4 linked regions of the Arabidopsis thaliana genome follow. Each later gene encodes a partner of the first gene's protein in a complex. Each region holds a gene or a part of one and is shown in the gene's direction. Other genes may lie near its edges. The genes, in order: arpc2b, ARPC3, CRK and AT5G65274.

Evidence for each region.
Region 2: arpc2b (region 1) and ARPC3 share a complex: the UniProt entries of both Arabidopsis thaliana proteins name them as parts of the arp2/3 complex.
Region 3: arpc2b (region 1) and CRK share a complex: the UniProt entries of both Arabidopsis thaliana proteins name them as parts of the arp2/3 complex.
Region 4: arpc2b (region 1) and AT5G65274 share a complex: the UniProt entries of both Arabidopsis thaliana proteins name them as parts of the arp2/3 complex.

What each region holds. Positions count from the first base shown.
Region 1 is NC_003071.7:14,146,187-14,152,262, reverse strand, and holds arpc2b (actin-related protein C2B), read left to right. Parts: upstream 1-2,360; 5' UTR 2,361-2,493; coding exon 2,494-2,552; intron 2,553-2,777; coding exon 2,778-2,844; intron 2,845-2,942; coding exon 2,943-3,150; intron 3,151-3,231; coding exon 3,232-3,401; intron 3,402-3,531; coding exon 3,532-3,609; intron 3,610-3,734; coding exon 3,735-3,867; intron 3,868-3,962; coding exon 3,963-4,054; intron 4,055-4,141; coding exon 4,142-4,198; coding exon of another isoform or gene 4,199-4,258; exon of another isoform or gene 4,259-4,299; coding exon 4,300-4,342; coding exon of another isoform or gene 4,343-4,368; exon of another isoform or gene 4,369-4,441; coding exon 4,442-4,659; 3' UTR 4,660-4,881; downstream 4,882-6,076. Other genes in the region: AT2G33390 (uncharacterized protein), read right to left, coding at 311-549; RD20 (Caleosin-related family protein), read left to right, coding at 5,889-5,991. UniProt on the Arabidopsis thaliana protein: Functions as actin-binding component of the Arp2/3 complex which is involved in regulation of actin polymerization and together with an activating nucleation-promoting factor (NPF) mediates the formation of branched actin networks.
Region 2 is NC_003070.9:22,263,465-22,268,362, reverse strand, and holds ARPC3 (actin-related protein C3), read left to right. Parts: upstream 1-2,286; 5' UTR 2,287-2,531; intron 2,532-2,601; exon of another isoform or gene 2,602-2,614; 5' UTR 2,615-2,680; coding exon 2,681-2,683; intron 2,684-2,880; coding exon 2,881-2,989; intron 2,990-3,064; coding exon 3,065-3,334; coding exon of another isoform or gene 3,335-3,366; intron 3,367-3,423; coding exon 3,424-3,566; 3' UTR 3,567-3,584; intron 3,585-3,706; 3' UTR 3,707-3,978; downstream 3,979-4,898. Other genes in the region: PANK1 (pantothenate kinase 1), read left to right, coding at 1-46, 472-591, 681-775, 850-943, 1,040-1,171, 1,267-1,379, 1,485-1,710; AT1G60420 (DC1 domain-containing protein), read right to left, coding at 4,120-4,791, 4,882-4,898. UniProt on the Arabidopsis thaliana protein: Functions as a component of the Arp2/3 complex which is involved in regulation of actin polymerization and together with an activating nucleation-promoting factor (NPF) mediates the formation of branched actin networks.
Region 3 is NC_003075.7:733,147-738,041, forward strand, and holds CRK (ARP2/3 complex 16 kDa subunit (p16-Arc)), read left to right. Parts: upstream 1-2,506; 5' UTR 2,507-2,629; coding exon 2,630-2,718; intron 2,719-2,800; coding exon 2,801-2,873; intron 2,874-2,943; coding exon 2,944-3,044; intron 3,045-3,168; coding exon 3,169-3,304; 3' UTR 3,305-3,819; downstream 3,820-4,895. Other genes in the region: AT4G01700 (Chitinase family protein), read right to left, coding at 1-341; AT4G01703 (uncharacterized protein), read right to left, coding at 1,106-1,219. UniProt on the Arabidopsis thaliana protein: Functions as a component of the Arp2/3 complex which is involved in regulation of actin polymerization and together with an activating nucleation-promoting factor (NPF) mediates the formation of branched actin networks.
Region 4 is NC_003076.8:26,082,891-26,087,054, forward strand, and holds AT5G65274 (ARP2/3 complex 16 kDa subunit (p16-Arc)), read left to right. Parts: upstream 1-2,409; coding exon 2,410-2,507; intron 2,508-2,585; coding exon 2,586-2,658; intron 2,659-2,702; exon of another isoform or gene 2,703-2,748; coding exon 2,749-2,849; exon of another isoform or gene 2,850-2,934; coding exon 2,935-3,070; downstream 3,071-4,164. Other genes in the region: AT5G65260 (RNA-binding (RRM/RBD/RNP motifs) family protein), read right to left, coding at 1-94; RABA4a (RAB GTPase homolog A4A), read left to right, coding at 547-779, 1,213-1,660; GCL1 (GCR2-like 1), read right to left, coding at 3,239-3,821, 3,904-4,130. UniProt on the Arabidopsis thaliana protein: Functions as a component of the Arp2/3 complex which is involved in regulation of actin polymerization and together with an activating nucleation-promoting factor (NPF) mediates the formation of branched actin networks.

The sequences.
Region 1 (6,076 bases):
CAAAAATATTGGAAATAGTCAAATCAATACTAATCTAAGGTTTACAATATGGCTAGAGCAACTATAAGAATTTCTCTATGGAAACCATTCTTAAACAAAAAGACCACCAGTCAAAGATCAAGAAGACCACTCCAAAAGCACGGAAATAGCCAAAACAAAACTAACCTAAGGTTTCCGATACGAATCCCGCATTTGCAAATCATTAACATTTAAGTAAGAGCTAGACCAAATAAAAGAGAAGAGAATCACGATACAGCGAAAAACTTGAAATAATACTCTACAGAGATAGTGTTGTTAAGGATGATATTACCTTGGTTCATAAACTAAAACCTCAGCAAGATTGTCTCCTTTAATGTCATTCCACTGCACAGTCCTCTTAATCTTGTCAGTGCTTCTAGACATGCCTCCTTTCCTTGGAGGCAATAAACATTGTGACTCACTTTCTTCTTCCTCAAAGATTTGATCTTCAATTTCACTGCTATTTAAACTAACTATAGCCTTATTCTCACATCCATTAGCTTCTTTACCCTCTCCACGACCCGTATCCATAGCAAATCTTCAATCTATGGAAACTAAACCCCAAGCTTAAACAATCTGGAGAAGATAGAGATATCACTCGTGTTCCCTAATTCATGTCAAATACCAAATACCACCTGATCATTCATAAACCCTAAGCTCCCTAACCATTAACCTCAATTTCGCTTCAGTATTCAGGGGTTTGAATTTGATCCTGATACAAAACAAAAGATAAATATGAATCTAACAAACCCTAATCACAAAATCTGAAAATTTGTGAATTCTAATATATCAAAGTCAACGCTTGGATCATGAATCAAGATCAGGATACGAAATCAGAAAACTGGAAATGAGAAAAAGCATTACTTACGTAGTAAAATGGCTGCGTTTTCTCTCGATTAGACGAACGAAAAAATCTCAAATTTTCTCGAGGAAAAAAATCAAAACTTTGACAACGATTAACACAAACAACAAACACCCATATCGAATTTCAACAATAATCGAATCCAACAATCCAGGGAAACCTCGAATTTCCCAAAATTTTGTTCTGATCCGATAACGAGAAAAAAAGAAAAGGGAAAGTGAAGGATTGAAATCTGAGAGACGCGTTTCTCTCAGCTGAGTTCTGATTGGGTGTCGAGAAAGTGTGCGAAAAGAAAATTCGTTAAATAAGGAATTAACGGCTAAGATCAAACTTGAGATATTTTTGTAGATGAGATTAAAACTTGTTTTGGCACACGGTAGGTAATCTCGTTATGAGATTATACTTCGGCCGTTGACTAATCATTTTTAATTAGCAAACTTGCAACTTTTTAATTACTTGTTTTTTTGGTTAAACAACAATATTTTAATTAAACAACTTGTTGAGCTTTTATGTGTTCTATAATTTAATAAGCTTTGAATTTTTCATGTTGACAAATTCAATATAGACTTCTAGATTTATAATTGATAATAAATTAAATTGATAGAGGTCTAGTTATCTTAGCATATGTATAGTTTTATGTGACTAAGATTACTTTTATAGTTTTAAATTATATAACAAATCAGGGTATTTTACAAGTTGTATTATCAAAATGAATCTATATAAATAAAACATGAATTTATATATTGATGGTCATCATAACAAAGACACATTTTGCTAAAAGATTTTATTTTCCTGTTTCATAAAAAAATAATATTAATAAATAAGTTATAAATTCATGTCAGATAATATGGTTTTACAATGACCATTCTTTTACCCTAAGTAAACCTCACGTCCACACTGAATAGAAAGAAGAATTGTGACTTAGTATGTGGGGTAAACTAATAACTATATGTTGGTGAAGTCAATAATAGCTTGCGATTTGTGTGAAACCGACGCTTAATGTTCATTGGATTAGCTTGGATTACATTCCAAGTATTGCTTTTTTAATGATAAGATTAATGTCCACATAATGACAATAGAAAAACAATCATTTATGTTTCTAACAGTAGAATTTTGCCTTTGAGGTTGAATAAAGATCAGGGAAAAAATATATGAAAATCTCATTTTCCATGGTTTCGATATTTTAGATGTAATCTAAGTTTTTGGAAAAAACACATTCTACCTCTGTCAAATTCCTTCTGTGTCATCACGGGACCGTGCGAATCGGCGTCCATCGGATCCCACAGCTTTAGTCCGAAGGCTGAGAAAGCATTAAAACTCTTTATCAACGGGCCTATGTTTATATTCGGCTCACAGGTACATCCACATGTTACGTTTCAGTGGCAGATACAATAGCTAAAATGTTTTCTTAGAAAGAAAGATAAAAAAATGATTGCAAATTTAAACTGACATTTTACTCAACATCCAACAATTCACCAATGCACGAAAGAAAAAGCGCACTTATTAGGCTCTCACACAGATATATGTGCAATGCACACATAAAAAGTTATAGATTGATGACATTGTAAATTATAATTATTGTACCCTCAAGTTTCTTCCGAGGTGTTTCAAGAATGGCATATCTCGAAAGAGCCTCTCCAACGTTGAAAGAAACACTCCTCAAGATATACCGGTAAGCCACACTCTCTCTTTTATTCTCTGGTCCAATTTCATTCCCGGTTTAGCTACCTCCGTACCTAACAATATTTTCCGGCTTAACTTCAATCAAGATTATTTGAAATGATTTTGTTAGTATGGTTAGTAAACATTAATTTCCAACTAAAAATCAATTGGCAATAAGTTCATATCCAATGCCAATGTGAGACATTATAACATAAGGTTATTGAATCCATGGCAGTGCTGAAAAACCTATTGAGGTCGATCAACATTTCCATGAGTTTGGTTCGATTGAATACCATATCAAGGTATATTTTTGGGGCTTCCTTTTTTTAATAATAATCTTCTTTCTTATTCGATTATATGTGCTCTTACAAAATGAAATATATATGATTTGGACATGCAGTACTCGGTTTCGGATCCAAATATTGTGCATGTATCGACGTCGACGTTGCTTGAGACACAAGGAGCAGTGACATTGAAGGAGATTTCAAGTTACACTTATGAGGTGATTAAGAATATTGGAGTTGGTGTGATTGACATCGTTGATCCACCAAGATTAGGGTTTCAATTGACCCTTGGCCTAAACCTTGATAATATACCACGTGGCAAAGGTAAGCTTCAATATTGAAATGTACTTTTTCCCGCTACTTAGTTATTATAAGTTTTTTTCATATTTACTCATTCAAATGCAGAAGCGATTAAAATCATTACAAGGATTTCTGAACTACAAGCGATAATATTAAGTAGCCAACTAAAAGAGATGCTGAGAAGTTTAAATTTTCAAGATGATTCACGATCGATCAACAACATGCCCATCAGGATTGTTTATCACCCAAGTGAACCTTTCTACGTCTTTAAACAGGTTTATTTTACCGCGTTTTATTCGTTTATCTGAGTTACATCCAACTAAATATAATAATGGATAGAGACCAACGTCTAAAATTTATCGAATAACTATAACTATAAGAATAAGTCTTTGAATGTTTTTTCAGCCGGAAAAAATCACGGCCGTGTTTCCGATGAATTTTAAAGACAATTCGGATGTGGTCATCGCCACGTCATTCTTCCAGGTACAACTAAAATGCATACAATCAATGGGTGGGACTAGAGTTTTGCATTGAGACGTCACTAAGGTTTCCTTTGTCAAATTTTATCTTTTTATGTTAAAAACAAATTGGACAATACATATAAAAAGGAACTAGTTGAAGTGGGAAGCCAAAAGGATATGGGAAAAGCCCCACAATGTAGTTGGTCGCCAATTCCTCCTCTCCAACTTAGAGGAGAACCGGTTCAAGACTTGACCACCAATTCTGGTTTTGTATCATTTGGTACGTTTTGTGTCATTTTATCTGTTTATAAAACTTAATCCAACATCTTTAATTAGTATTCTTAAATGTCAAAGTTCAAACAATTCTCATTGCAGATATTACTTCACGGCACATTGAAGGAAAGAGACTGGACAAAACGGTTTGGAACTTGCTAAATTTCTACGCATGCGCTAAGTACCATATTAAGGTACATTAGTTCTAGTTTTTCAAATAAAATATAATAGATTTTGTGTTCTTGTAATTGAAAATTTTCAACCTCGTATTGTTTAAATAGTGCTCGAGAGGGTACATACAGAGACGGATGAGAAAAAGAATGGAAACTTTAGTTAAGGTATTTTTATCATATATTACGTACACACACGAATCTACAACAATAGTTGACATTTCATAAACAAAATAACGTATGTTTGTAAATTTACATTATATACGTAGCTGCTAAATAACACAAGCCTAGAAGAAGAAGCTGCTCAAAATGGTATCCTTTTTTTTTGTTACCTTTAACCTTACTTAGGTTTGTATATATAAAAAAGTTATATTATCATTTTTTCTTTTCCATTCTCTAATTTCTATATAGAAAACGGAAGATGCAAATACGTAAAGGAGTTTGTGAAGGTACCAAAAGGTAAATTGATGATGAAACAAAGATGCAAGGAGATGACAAGGAGAGTGAAGATAAGCAAGTTCCGGATCAAAATCAACGGTTGTGCTCGGTTTCGATTCAATCAGCGGTGGATATCTCTCCCCAAATTCTCTTCGAAACCATCAGATAAATCATACACAAAATTGGACTAAGTAATCACTTAACTTGGAAAGTCTCAAGAAAGAGGCTCGGTGTTGTTGTTTTTTTTCTTTGTCAACATGCTTTAAAATTGAATTCGGGGAGCAATATTATACGTTAATGAATATCTTGACAACAAAAAAAAACGTTATCAGATAAACTTATGGATATAATTTGGTAAACCAAAAATAAACCTAATCAAAAGTTGGCATTGAATGCAGCATGTTACGTAAGAGCTTTGTACAAGTACCATTCACTCTTTTTACTTTTCAATGTATACAATCATCATGTGATAAAAAAAAAAATGTAACCAATCAACACACTGAGATACGGCCAAAAAATGGTAATACATAAATGTTTGTAGGTTTTGTAATTTAAATACTTTAGTTAAGTTATGATTTTATTATTTTTGCTTATCACTTATACGAAATCATCAATCTATTGGTATCTCTTAATCCCGCTTTTTAATTTCCACCGCACACGCAAATCAGCAAATGGTTCCAGCCACGTGCATGTGACCACATATTGTGGTCACAGTACTCGTCCTTTTTTTTTCTTTTGTAATCAATAAATTTCAATCCTAAAACTTCACACATTGAGCACGTCGGCAACGTTAGCTCCTAAATCATAACGAGCAAAAAAGTTCAAATTAGGGTATATGATCAATTGATCATCACTACATGTCTACATAATTAATATGTATTCAACCGGTCGGTTTGTTGATACTCATAGTTAAGTATATATGTGCTAATTAGAATTAGGATGAATCAGTTCTTGCAAACAACTACGGTTTCATATAATATGGGAGTGTTATGTACAAAATGAAAGAGGATGGATCATTCTGAGATGTTATGGGCTCCCAGTCAATCATGTTTTGCTCGCATATGCTATCTTTTGAGTCTCTTCCTAAACTCATAGAATAAGCACGTTGGTTTTTTCCACCGTCCTCCTCGTGAACAAAAGTACAATTACATTTTAGCAAATTGAAAATAACCACGTGGATGGACCATATTATATGTGATCATATTGCTTGTCGTCTTCGTTTTCTTTTAAATGTTTACACCACTACTTCCTGACACGTGTCCCTATTCACATCATCCTTGTTATATCGTTTTACTTATAAAGGATCACGAACACCAAAACATCAATGTGTACGTCTTTTGCATAAGAAGAAACAGAGAGCATTATCAATTATTAACAATTACACAAGACAGCGAGATTGTAAAAGAGTAAGAGAGAGAGAATGGCAGGAGAGGCAGAGGCTTTGGCCACGACGGCACCGTTAGCTCCGGTCACCAGTCAGCGAAAAGTACGGAACGATTTGGAGGAAACATTACCAAAACCATGTAAGTGTGAATGTCCAAATTTATGATTTTAATGTGTAACAAGCGGGAAATTAAGTGGTTACGTTAAATGAAACTACAAAAACAT
Region 2 (4,898 bases), on another chromosome or scaffold:
AGATGAGATGTGTTCTCTTGTTGGTGGTGTTAATTTTCTACTAAAGGTTTGATTTTTTTTTCTATCCTATCATCATCTTCTATTCATTTTTCCTCAAACATAACCCACATGAGGATATATATGTACTCTGAATAGTCTAGGCTACACGTTGCTATCACTCATCTTTGTCAACACTTTTTGCTAATTCTTTATGAGTGAAGTTGTATTATGTTTCCCTGATAGTGATCTTGGCCTGAGTGTTGTTGCAGACTAACGTCTATAAGACTGAAAATATAGCTACATTAACATTTAGGACATTATAAATTTGAAGATGGTGATCATTTGCAATTTTGATTAAATGAGCTGTGCTCCCTGAGGTTTTTTAACCGATAGTTTCTTCATTGCATTAAAAGCATCTGTGGCAGAATAGTTTTTGATAAACTTCTTATTTCTGCCATTTTAAATTAACAATAGATTATTGCATGATTGCAGACTGTCCCAAGGGAAGCTTTTACCTACTTAGATGGCCAAAAGAAGTTTGTCGAGATCGACCATAATGATTTGTATCCATATCTACTAGTCAACATCGGTTCTGGCGTTAGCATGATCAAGGTTCATTCTGGTTTTGGTTTCTCTGATCTCTCTGTTTTTGTTTGCTACTACACCAGCGATGTTGCTTACTCAAACTCGTTCTTATATAGGTCGATGGAGATGGAAAATATGAGAGGATAAGTGGAACAAGCCTTGGCGGAGGCACATTTTTAGGTCTTGGGAAGCTTTTAACAAAATGCAAGAGGTGACTTCTTAGTTAAGTCTATTAATGTAAGTTTCCTCCTTGCCTGAGTAACAACTAATATTTCTTAATTTCAGTTTTGATGAGCTGCTAGAGTTAAGCCACCATGGAAATAACAGAGTAATTGACATGCTTGTGGGGGATATCTACGGTGGAACAGATTATTCAAAGGTAATTGATTGATCCTGGTTTTGCTTAAACATGTCTGAAGACTTTTAGATTAGATTCATATGTTAATATAACCTTTTGTTCATTCTTTTTTGATAGATTGGTCTCTCCTCAACAGCTATCGCTTCCAGCTTTGGGAAAGCGATTTCTGATGGTAAAGAACTTGAAGATTACCAGCCAGAAGATGTGGCAAGGTCCCTTCTAAGAATGATATCAAATAACATCGGTCAGGTCAGTTCCTCTGAACATTTTAATGCCATTTTAAAACATAATTTGAAGCTGATGATATTCTGATCGAATTGTAACGTTTTCTACTCTCCCTCCAGATTGCTTATTTGAATGCTCTCAGATTCGGTCTTAAGCGTATTTTCTTTGGTGGATTTTTCATCCGTGGGCTTGAGTACACCATGGACACAATCTCCGTTGCTGTTCACTTTTGGTAAATCCAAAACCGAAACTACTTAATCAAATCCCTCCATATCTTAAACTCATGTATGTCCACAAAATCTTTATCGAACTTTCTCATTTTTCCTTCTCATTTCAGGTCGAGAGGTGAGGCAAAGGCAATGTTTTTACGACATGAAGGGTTTCTTGGAGCATTAGGCGCTTTCACGAGCTACAATGACCAGAGCCATAACGATTTAAAACCGCATCATCACACTGTGCAAAGAGCAATTCTCAACTGTTCAGGTCATAACTTTCGGCACATCCCAGTAACTTCAAATTTAAACGAAAGCGAGACCATAGAATGTAGCATCAATTTAGTTTAGTTATCACCAGTTGTATTATTATCAATTCAGTGTAGAAATATGTTTAATCAACTGTTTGAGTCAAGAGCTGCTCATTACTAGTTTGTTGAATGTTAGACACATTTATGTAAGATGATTCACGTATTAATATTCATGTATGACCAATGTAACTTGTACTATATATCACACAAAGAATCAAACACACTTATTAAATCTCACTAGAGCTTCTTTAAATCTCGGTTTAGTCCGGTGCATTGCAAGTATTTGTGCATTTCTGTTTAGCCTTTGTTTACTAAGTTTTGTATATTGCTTATGTAACAAGTTTTTATCCATTCAGCAGAAATAACAGAAACTTGACACTTATATGGACATTTTGTTGTTGTTGTTGATTGAAGATCAATGTTTAATCCGGTCAAACCACTTTGATGTAACCCGAAACTGAACCGAAGAATGAACCACATCATTATTTGGTTTTTGATGTACCTAATTCCAGTGGTCGATAAGAAACCAAATTTCAAATAAAAAAACCGAGAAACTCAAAAATCAAAGCTAAGCCGGATTTAACATTGGTTACTCCCGGTACGAAGCAATGTACCACATTCATGGAGTCTTACACGTGTCATCCATACCTCTCTGTCTTCTTCTTCTTCTGTTCTTCATTCCTTTTTCCTACTTCGTCGATTTTCCATTTCAATTTCTTCTTCAGCCGGCGATTAAGCTTCCCAATAAGACAATCTCCGACCGCCGCAACATCACGAAGGATTCTTCACCGTGTGAACTTTACGCAGTCTTTCCTCTTTCGTAGACGCTAAAGAAGTTGAAATTGATCTGATCTCGTTTAGGTAAAAACTTTTTCTTTCTTCATCTATAGAATCAATCGTTCACCTAAATTCTGATTCTTATATATCCAAGATCTTAATTGCAGCAGATCTACCTTCGATTCGATTCTTCTCCTTCCTGATATCGCTTCATTGTTCAAATTCGGCACAAAATGGTACGGATCACCATTTTCTTATCTTTCAATTAGCATTAATCGCATTTCATTTTGTAACTAATGAAATTAGATTAGATCTTCGATGAGATTTTTTTTATTTATTGAGCTTGTTTCACTTTGATTTGGTTCCATGGAGTATTTAACTCTGCGATGCTCATTTTGTTTCCTTAATCCTTGTGATTAAATGCTCTGATCAGGTTTATCACTCGAGTTTTGTGGATGAAGAAGGAGTAACAAAGGCATGTGGTTGTCCATTGCTTCCTCTCAAGAGTCATATAAAAGGTCCTGCACCTGTTTCAGAACAAGGTAATTAATCAAAACATGTGATTTTTTTCAATTGTGCGATCGAAAGCTTTTGTAAATTGTTGGTTTTATATGCAGATAAAACTGATATAGTAGACGAGGCAATCACCTTCTTTCGTGCTAATGTCTTCTTCACAAACTTTGATATCAAAAGTCCTGCTGATAAGCTCCTTATTTACTTGACGTTTTATATAAATGTGGCGTTAAAGAGGCTTGAAGGCTGTAGAACATTGGCTGTTGGAACTAAAGCGATTATCAACTTGGGTTTAGAAGATATTCCTGTTCCTGGAGAAACTGGCTTTCCTTTCCCAGGTCTCTTTTCGCTTCCGCAGTCCCAGGACGAAGCAGGTATATATACATGTCTAAACAACTCTTATTGATTTTTCTTTCAGTTACTTGGTCCTTAGCCTTGTGTTCTGTTTGGCTTCAAATGTCAGAGCTTTTCAGGAACTATCTTAAGCAGGTTCGAGAGGAGACAAGTGGGAGGTTACTGAGTGTAGCATATAGAGCCAACGGGACACCAAATAAATGGTGGCTTGCATTCGCCAAGAGGAAATTCATGAACGTGGTCGTCCTATGATAAAACAGAGAATCACTGGTAAGTATCACTTTAGTTTACTGGATCCAAAATCCCACGTGATCTTAGATCCATCTCAAACAGTTCTACATTTCAAGCTTAAAATGTTTTTCTTTTGATCTGATTTTTTCATAATTTAGCAGCTGGTTATTCTTCCTTGCTTGCTGCCCATTACGAATGAGGGAATCCAAAGCCACTGGAGATCATGAGAATCGCCACCTTTAGCTTCCTCTGCATAGGTGTTAGCCACTGGAACCAGGAAGACGAAAATTTCATCTGAGAGCAGAATGCTCTCTCTCTGTATCTCTTGATATATACATAGAGTGTGCCAATGTATTGTTTCATACAACTCCTGTTGGAATATAAAATTTGTTGATACAAGATCAAAGTTAAATAAGAAGATTCTTTTATTATTACTTTAGATTAACAGAGTTTATCTCCAAGGTCTTAATCAGATATCAGATTGTAACCACACATTCTCACTCTTAGCAATTATACAAAGAAAGGAAATAGCTTTGCATACACATAGTGACATAACTGTGCCTGAAGCTACCTATCAGGCCTTGGTGCATACGTTTCCTTCACAAACCCAACCATCTTTGGACTCGTCGCCACCAACTTTCACAGCCTCATCGCCGTTTTCTTTTGTGTCCTCGTTTAAAGCACACTTGGCGTGAAGATCAAAGTCGCATTCGTCGCAATGGTAAGACCATATTGTCCCTTCTTCCTCACACTTATCGCATGTGTAAACCTGAACACGAGTTAGTTCTAGCTCATGTTCTTCATGGAGAACATGTTTCACCTTCTTAGGCCAATCTTTTGCTATCTCATCGTACTTAGCTTCAATCTCCTTCAAACGTTCCTCAGTAAAAGGGTAAGCATCGGCTCCATGGGCTACGACAAGGTCCCTTGCTTCTTTTGTTACGGTTTGCCCAGTTGGTCCCAGAGCTGCTAGCATTGGGATCCCACCAACCTTAAAGGTTTTTGCCAAGGATGCTTTCCTAGGATCACCAAATGGAAGAGCCAGCCACGGCATTTGCGAATAGTACTCATCGAATGATTCCTGGTCACGGTCACTGGAGATGAAGATCAATTCAAACGCTTCATTCCGCTCCTTTATCTGCTTGTATACTTCAACAAGCTTTGGTGTAAAAGCGCGACAAGGAGGACACCAGTGAGCTGAGAAGTACATAAGAATAGTCTTCCCCACCAGATCCGAAACAAGCACCTAACAAAGAAAGCCAAATTTTTACAGGTTGGTTCAGATCAGCCTTGAAGAACAGTGTTTAGAAAATGAAGAGGGTATCGAGAGCTATACCTTTGCCCCATCTTTTC
Region 3 (4,895 bases), on another chromosome or scaffold:
CCGTCTGGTGCCGTGGCCCAACCACCTGTTGTCTCGTGAGATATCTGCGCCAAAAACGCAGCCACTTCGCGTCGCCTTGTCCAAAAGTTTCCTACGCTCCCGAACTTCGGGAAGGATCTTGTAGCCTCCACGAAAGCTTCATAGGGGTAGAAACCTTTTGCAGGGCATGCGTTGTTGTCCTTGTGGATGAAGATTTGGTCGTAGAGAGTTCTTGGGACTAGGCTCATGATCGGTGCGGGTTTATATTTATTGTGTTTTCGAGCTTCGGTTTCATGGAGAGAGGATGATATTGAGAAGATGAAGAGGAGTAGACAGAGCAATAGAGAGATTTGTTTCTCCATATTTGTTCTTTTTTGTGTTTTGTGTGAGAAGATGTGGTTTTGGCTTTGTTGTTATATAGAGTCATAGAGATGTAGTAGTGGACGACTTAGTTACATGTTTTTGTTTTGGTCTACGTTTTGACTTTTTTTAGTGGAGTTTATACTTTTTATTTTATATAGTTGCAATTATTTAAGGGTTTATTCTCTTTTTCATTGTTAGGAGACCCATTCCTCTCCTTCTTCTTTTTTCTCATTTTTTTTCTTTCAAGAAGATTCATTCTTGATTTGGAAAATGCATGACATATATTTCAAACCAGATAAAGTGAACCATTTCAGTCTGAATTCAATTGAATAATGTTAATATGAAGACCAAGTTGAATTTTAATGTGGGGAATTAAGCTTCTTTGGAAGGTACTAACCAAATTCAAATATAAATATATTCTTTGAAAATTTGAAACATAATTCATTATGAAGTAAATATTAAATAAAACAGAAAGTGTTCCATACTGAATTATAGTTTCATTTTGAATACTATTCTATACAAAAATAAAAACAATAAAAAAAAATTGAGAGAAATATTAGCAATGAAAACAAAACTATCAAAGAATTGTTTTTGAAGTTAAAAAATATAAAATTTCAAAGTTCGAGGTCGGTGGCTAACTAACATGAAAAGCGCCGAGCAACTTGTGATATGTACGAGTTGGACCAAGTCGTGACGACTTTTTTAATAAGCTTAAGATCCAATTATTTCTCAAGAAAAACAGTAAAACGTACGCCAACATATATTAACTACGACGACAAAATTCTTGGCCTTTAAGAAAGACTAGTACACGATCAATCCCAACGATTAAACCAGCAGACGAGTAACCATATGTAGGGTACGAGTTTCTCAACCACATCTCCAACTTTTCAGTAGACGATCTAATTATGTTTAACCACTAGAAGCCGACACCATAAACATCCATCCGAGGTTATCGTCTTTCGAAGAGTTCCTAACGAGCATTCATGAAACATCATTCTCACTTCTCCTCCCACTAAACCGACTTTTTTCGGATGTTATTTCAAATTTGGTTAATTGCTAAATGATTGACCATTAATTCGACCACGTGATTACACAAAGAGACGTTTAGATCCACTACATTGGTGCGATGTGAAGTGATCACCATGCTTTAGTTTACACGTCCACTTTATATAGGTTTGGCAGTTAAAAAAAAGAAGTTTTATACATAGTTCTATCAAGTGGTCTTAGACCGAATCTTGGCAATATATTTGTTATAAGACTACCAATATCATTAATGATTAGAGAAAGTTAATGTTAAGTTTCATCAGATTCTAATTTAAAACCAATGGGTAATGATTGGATTGGTTGTGTTCCATATATACTAGTGTTAGCACTTAGCAGTCATGAGTGTGTTTACTCCATTTATAGTATACTTTCGATGTAGGATCCTAATTAGAATGATAAAGAAACATTCCAAAAGAGTATTATCAAAATGCTCTTCGTCTATCCATACAAATATAATGAGATTTGGGCAGAAACAACCATTTTGTTAACATATTAGGGTCGAGCGCAGAAAAAAATATATTTTGACCTGTGTTAATAAAATAGAATAGGTTGCGATTTTAATTAAGGAGGTTAATAAATTAAAATCGTAAAAATGATACCAAAATGGTAACAAAATCGTAAAGAAAAGTTCATTAGTATAAATATAAAAAATTCGGTCCAACAAATATTACTATTAAAAATTTATAAGAGAGATTTATAATAAAAAAAAAATTGTTATACCAAGAAAGAAAAGGAGATTCTTGTATTGTAACCCGTTTGTGTGTCTTTTTTAGTCTCAGATTTGTTTTAATTTTCTATGACTTAGGATTTGTAAGTCTTTTTTGGATTTCTAGAACCTGATCGAGGAAATTTCAATGAATATAGTGTAATTGGTTTGTTTGGATTTTGTTCCCTTTGTTTACCTTGTTTGGTATTTGGCTTCGGGAGTGTTCTTGTACTCATCGGCTTATGTCTCCGGAAGTGGTTTGTACTTGCCGGCTCTTGTATTTCAACTTGAATCCTATCGATGAAAATCCTATTGACAAAAAATGAAAAAAAAAATGAAGCTTCCATCATCCATCATTCAGTGGCAGCATAAGCATTTAAGACTACGTGCCGTTTAAGGCCAAGACAAACGGCACTCAGTTCCCTTTTGAAATGGTCAAATGGCGATTGAGTTGTTTTCCTCTCTCTCTCTCATTTTTTCAATTAAAGAAGGGAAAGAGGGGAAATCTCTGATCGGAGAGAAAGATCGAATCGAAGAATGGCAGAATTCGTTGAAGCTGATAACGCAGAAGCAATAATCGCGAGGATCGAAACCAAATCGAGGAAGATTGAAAGCCTACTCAAACAGTAATATCAGACCTTGGAGCTAAACCCTAAAGTCTTCTTTTGTTTTTGGTTTAATCCCTTATCGGTGTTTTAATGTGTGCAGGTACAAACATGTAGAAGCTTTGAAAACGGCTCTTGAAGGTTCGCCTCCGAAAACTCGCGATGAACGTTGCAAGGTCTCTCTCTTTCCGAAACCATCTTTTTTTTTTTTTTTGATTTACTGAGCCAAAAAAAACTCAACTGCAGTCGGCTAATTGGATAGTTGTGCACAGAGCTTTAATGGCCATTAAGGATATTGACGGAATGCTCAATGCTCTTGATGTCGAATATTACGACATTCTCATGAAGTAAGTGCAAAGTTGGTTTTTTTTTTTTTTGCTGTAATGCGTTTTGTAATATGTATGAATTGGAAAGCTCTATCCTCAGGCTGTCTGTGCTCTTTGATAGAATGTTTTTGCTTAAAATTCTCAGGTACTTGTACAGAGGACTTTCTACTGGGGACCGACCCACCTGCGATCAGTGCCTGAAGATTCACGAGAAACTCACTGAGAGAGCTGGTCTCGGTTGCATTCTCCGATGTCTTACTGATACCATCAACACCGTTTGATCCATCATTCCCTCTTATGTATTATTACTTGATGCCTTGATGTTTCCAATGTGCATATTCTCCTTGAGGAACCATGTCTCACATTTATCAGTTTTAGACTTGTATTTTCATTACCAAACAGTTGCTTGATAAATGATAACACAAGTCATTCCTAGAGCTCATGTGTAACATAATTCCCGGATCAGCTGAATCATAAATACGAAGACCAAGTTGTGATTAAGTAATTTTAGGGGGGTGTATTGAAACCAGAATCTTTTAGAAGATTTGGTGGAATTTGCATTCTTCTACAGACCAAATCCATTCTCGATTTTGCCGGTGAAGAACAGAGACCGAAAGCTTTTTTCATGGAAGACGAGGGGAGGAGGACAATGAGAATATGTCGCAGAGATTTTCTGTGAATCTTTTTTTAAATCAAATCGTTCAGAATAACACCTACAGGTGAGATTTTTTCATGCTTATTTTCAACTAAATTTTTTTGCCTAAGTCTCCCAGAATCAATGTTAAATGTTTTTAATGAAATTGTTTTGTTGAGTTTAGATAACAGTGGATTTAAGATGTGTTTTATAAATTCTTGAATGAATAACAGAAGATTATAGATTCTTTTGAGTGATTTTATATAAATTCCAATTTCAATAACAAAGGATTTGAGAAAAAAATTACAAATCACAAGTTGAATACAACCATTCCTGATTCACTGAATGTTCATAACTCGAAGGCCCAATATCGAACTCAGCCCATTGAAACTAAATTCATTTCTAAACTTTCAATGTAAATGCACTCGTCATACAAGAGTAAATGTTCACATAGTTAGTCATTGATTTAAACAATTTTACTCTTTAGATTTTTAAAATTTTATAGGATTGTAATAAACCAGGTTGAATTCAAATGTCAAATAGCGTTAAATAAAAGTTTAGATCTTTTTTTTTTTTTTTTTTTTTTTTATCAACGTTAGTACAAGAAGAAACAAGAGCAGCTTTTGCCAAAGCATCAGCTTGATCAACGTTTCCTTATAAAAGACAAAAGCAATTAAGTTTTTACTTTTACAGTCTTTTTGATCAAATTAAATGAGTAATTGAGTAGTAGTAGTAACAAAAGGGAATCCCAGAAATAGTAGTTGCTTTCACATGAAAAAATTTCCAAATACAACAATTTTTATTTATTATTTATAGCATCCGGTAGTTCCAGATGAACTCTTGAAAACCTATTTTCAATAAATCTGATGATCCTCTTTTGATATTTCAAAAATATTAAGATATATAACAATATAAAAAAATTGTCAGCTAATTACAAATTGTTTTCTCTAAAATTCAAAATTACCAATAAAAAAAATGATGTCTTTAGAAAGAAATAGATAAGTGTTTTTGTGATAAACGTTTAAATTATTGTTTATGTACTCAGATGTTTTCGGAGATAAAATGGATTATATGGAGTCTGATGTGAATTCAATAACTTACCAAGTATTAGTGCATGGGAGAGCGAATTCCCTTCTTCTTCTTTTTTTACAGATTTACGTGGAAGCAATTTTGAGTGACAAAAAAATAAAATATAAATATAAATATATATATATATATATATATATATATATATATAT
Region 4 (4,164 bases), on another chromosome or scaffold:
TATCCAAATCGGGGTTGAGAGCCTCCATATCTCCATCCATCTCTCCGACGTCTGGAATTTCACCACCGTAAACCTCGTGCTCCTCTTCCTCCATCGTCTCTCTCGCTCTCTCTCCGTCGCGACGTTTGCTTTGTTTTCTTCTGAAAACGCTTAGGTCACTTTTTGTCAATTCGGATAGCGACACGTAATCAACCAAATAACGGCCCTTTATTATAACTTAATGGGCCTAATAAGGCCCAATTTTAAAAGACTTTTTAACATTCGAAATTACCCTATTTGATGACATCATCACCCAAAAACATGCGCCTGACAGAAAGATAATTGTCGAATCCGTCAAATCTCACCGAGCCGGCAGAATCCAACGGTTAATATTTAGACACGTCATCATTAATTAAAAATATTGACTAATAGTTGACAACGACGACAATACGACCGTATCAGATCTCTCTCTGCGTTTAAAACTTCAAAAAAGCTCACTTTTCGGTAAAAGCTTAAAACAGAGGATTTAGCAAGAGAGGATTTAGCGAGAGAGAGACGTTGAAGAAGATGACTAGTGGAGGAGGATACGGAGATCCGTCGCAGAAGATTGATTATGTGTTCAAAGTGGTGTTGATCGGCGATTCCGCGGTTGGGAAATCACAGATACTGGCTCGTTATGCTAGAGACGAATTCAGTTTGGATTCTAAGGCCACCATCGGCGTTGAGTTTCAGACTCGGACGCTTGTTATCGATCACAAGAGTGTTAAGGCTCAGATCTGGGATACCGCCGGCCAAGAACGGTAATCTCCGACCTCTCCCGGAACTTTTAGCTACTTCAATTGCTTGAACTTAGATCTCGTAAGATTTTACTGTTTCTCTAGATCTGGAAGATGATAGGTCTGCTTAGGATTTCGAATTCTAGTAAAGCTTACTGATCTGTATACGAAATTGGGAGGATCTGAAGTAAAATGGTAGAATCATTGAGAATTTGGGATTGGGATTTCAAAATTATGTATAGACTAGAATTATGTATATTACTATTCCAATGTTATTAAGCTTCTATAATTTTATGATTGGTACAAATTTGGACACTTTTGTTATACATTTCCCAGTGATGCTTCATCAACTTTATACATTCACTGATCTTTAATGAGTAAGCTAACCACCACATTTCATGCTTATCATATGCTTACATTGTATATCTTTCTATATGTGTGGTATTGGTTGAAACAGATACAGAGCAGTAACAAGTGCATATTACCGAGGAGCGGTTGGGGCGATGTTGGTGTATGACATAACCAGACGCCAAACCTTTGACCATATCCCAAGATGGTTAGAAGAACTACGTGCTCATGCAGATAAGAACATTGTGATAATCCTTATTGGGAACAAGTCAGATCTTGTGGATCAACGAGCTATACCGACAGAAGATGCGAAAGAATTTGCGGAGAAAGAAGGTTTGTTCTTCTTGGAGACATCTGCATTTAACGCAACCAATGTTGAGAGCGCTTTCTCCACGGTTTTGACTGAGATCTTCAACATTGTGAACAAGAAAAGTCTGGCTGCGAGTGAAGATCAAGAGAATGGTAATCCCGGGTCGCTTGCTGGTAAGAAGATTGATATTGTTCCAGGTCCTGGTCAAGTGATACCAAACAAGAGTAACATGTGTTGTAACTCTTAGATAAACCAATTCAATTCTTGAATGTTACTTGATAACAACAATATATAGATGTTTTAAAGACTCTGATTGGGATATTTCTCCTATCTAGAGCTGTGTGATTCATTTGTTGCTTAATGAGCAGTTTTTGTGGGGTTTTGGGGTGTTGAATCCAAGTATAACAAACCGATCTTAATTTGATCTTAAAAATTGGATATTAATTTGATCAACATGTTTTTATTCTCTCTACATTTGTAAGATTATTGTTACATTTTTGTTAATTACAAATATATACCAGCAATAACAACTTTTCTATTTCTCTTGTTACGTCAATGTGAAAAAGTAAAAATTAAAAACTGAAGCATCCGATTTTAATAATTGGTATCACAGTTCTGATAAATTCTCACTCGGCCGTTTTACCACTCGATTGCTTTATTCTCTCTAATTTCAGGTAATCTTCGAATCCTGCTTGATTCTTCAATCTTGTATGATTTGATCAGAAAGTTCAGGATTACTGATCTGATATGATGTGAGAAATCTGCGTACCATCGGCAATGGATTGTTTTACGTGATTAGAATTGATTTTGTCGTGATTGTTACTTCTCTTTTTAGCTTTTTATGGGGATGACAAGTTTTGCATTGCCTCCTTTGGTTAGTAAACTCAAATCATATGTTTCTTATGCAGCAAGTTGTCGATTTGAATGAAGAAATGAAATTAATTGATTAGGTTTTAGATAATTTTGCTGGAGAGTGTAGAGAAAGAGAGAGATCCAATGGCTGGTGCAGCAGCATTTGTTGAAGCTGATAATGCAGAGGAAATAATGGCAAGGATCGAAACCAAATCGCAGAAGATTGAAAGCTTACTCAAACAGTAATAACCCTAAAGTTCCTTTTTTCTTCCAACTTTCTCAGATGACCTAGGCTATAATTGTTACTTCGTTTTATTCAGCTACAAACATGTCGAAGCTCTTAAAACGGCTCTTGATGGTTCGCCACCTAAAACTCTCGACGAACGTTGCAAGGTCCTACTGTTTCCTCTACCATGCACATAAGTAGTTTGTTCATGATCAAAAAGATTGTGTAATTTATGATAAATATCTGTGAAATTGCAGTCAGCTAATTGGATAGTTGTGCACAGAGCTATCATGGCGATAAAGGATATCGAAGGAATGTTAAATTCTCTTACTGCCGAGTATTACGACATTCTCATGAAGTAAGTCTCTTGCCTTTTGCTCTGCTAGCTTTTAATTAGCGTGATGTGGAAGCAGTGTTTTGTTTGCTTAAATGGTGTGGATCAGGTACTTGTACAGAGGTCTTTCGACTGGTGACGAACCCACATGCGAACAGTGTTTGATGATTCACGAGAAACTAACAGAGAGAGCTGGTCTCGGTTGCATTCTCCGTTGTCTGAGTGATACTACCAATACCGTTTAAACCATTAAGCTGATCTTTTCATGTTACTTTTATTCTTGTTTTCTATGAATGTTTCTCCCAAATCTCAAGTTACTTCAATAGATTATAGAAAGTGGAATAAACCGGAGAACCTAAGATCCTTTCACAAAGAGATAGTCATAAAAGAACCTACGGTTACCTGGTTTTAAATTATATCTCATAACCAGGAAACTTAGAATCTACCGGCGACACAAGATCGAACCAGAGGCATACTGGTCCAGCTAGTCCCCGGAATAGCGAATAATCATGTTCTGTTTCTTGGCTTGTCATATTCACGAGCTCTATCGCATCACGGCACAAGTAACTCGCAAACGCTTTTGCTCTCTCTTCATATACAACATCTCCGGTTAAGCGATAAAGGGATAAGAAAGCGTAGGCATTACCAGCAACTCCATCAGCTAAACCTACCTTCTTCACCAAGCCACTCTTCCACACTACTTCTCCTGCTTCAATGGCTGCTTCGCGGAAATCCCTTTCCTTGGGAAACACCTGAGATGCTTTAGCCAAAGTAATGGCCATGCCGGTTGCTCCATGAGCCCATTGGACTAGCTTATCCCTCGGATTCCCTTCGCTGCACGGGTAGTTTCCGCTGTTCGGAAACCTATTACTCATCATATACCTCAATGTCCCTTGAACATCTTTAACATCCTCTTCCGATAGTGGAAAATGCAGCAATACATACAAGATTCCAGCTAATCCATTCGCAGCACCCCAAAATCGCGTTCCGTGAAACCTAAAAGCCACAAAAGTAAGATCAATTCCTACTAAAGATAAACAGGATTCTCTTTTAACAAACTATAGCTATTTTGTGAAACCTGTATAACAGAGGACAAGCTTCATGATCTGCAGCTCCAACTCGCCCACCGGCTAAGATGGCTGCAACAATGGGTGATAAGAGATGGTCAGGAACAGTTCCTTGGCCGAGATATCGGTTTAGGAACAGAGCAGCCCAAAGGAAACCCGCTCTTCCATAGAGAAGGTCATATGACATCCCAAATCCTCCTTCCTCTGGTCCTGCTGGTAACTCTCTCTCTTCTGCAAGCTGCTTGTAAGAATAACAAATCTTAAAGGCTCGT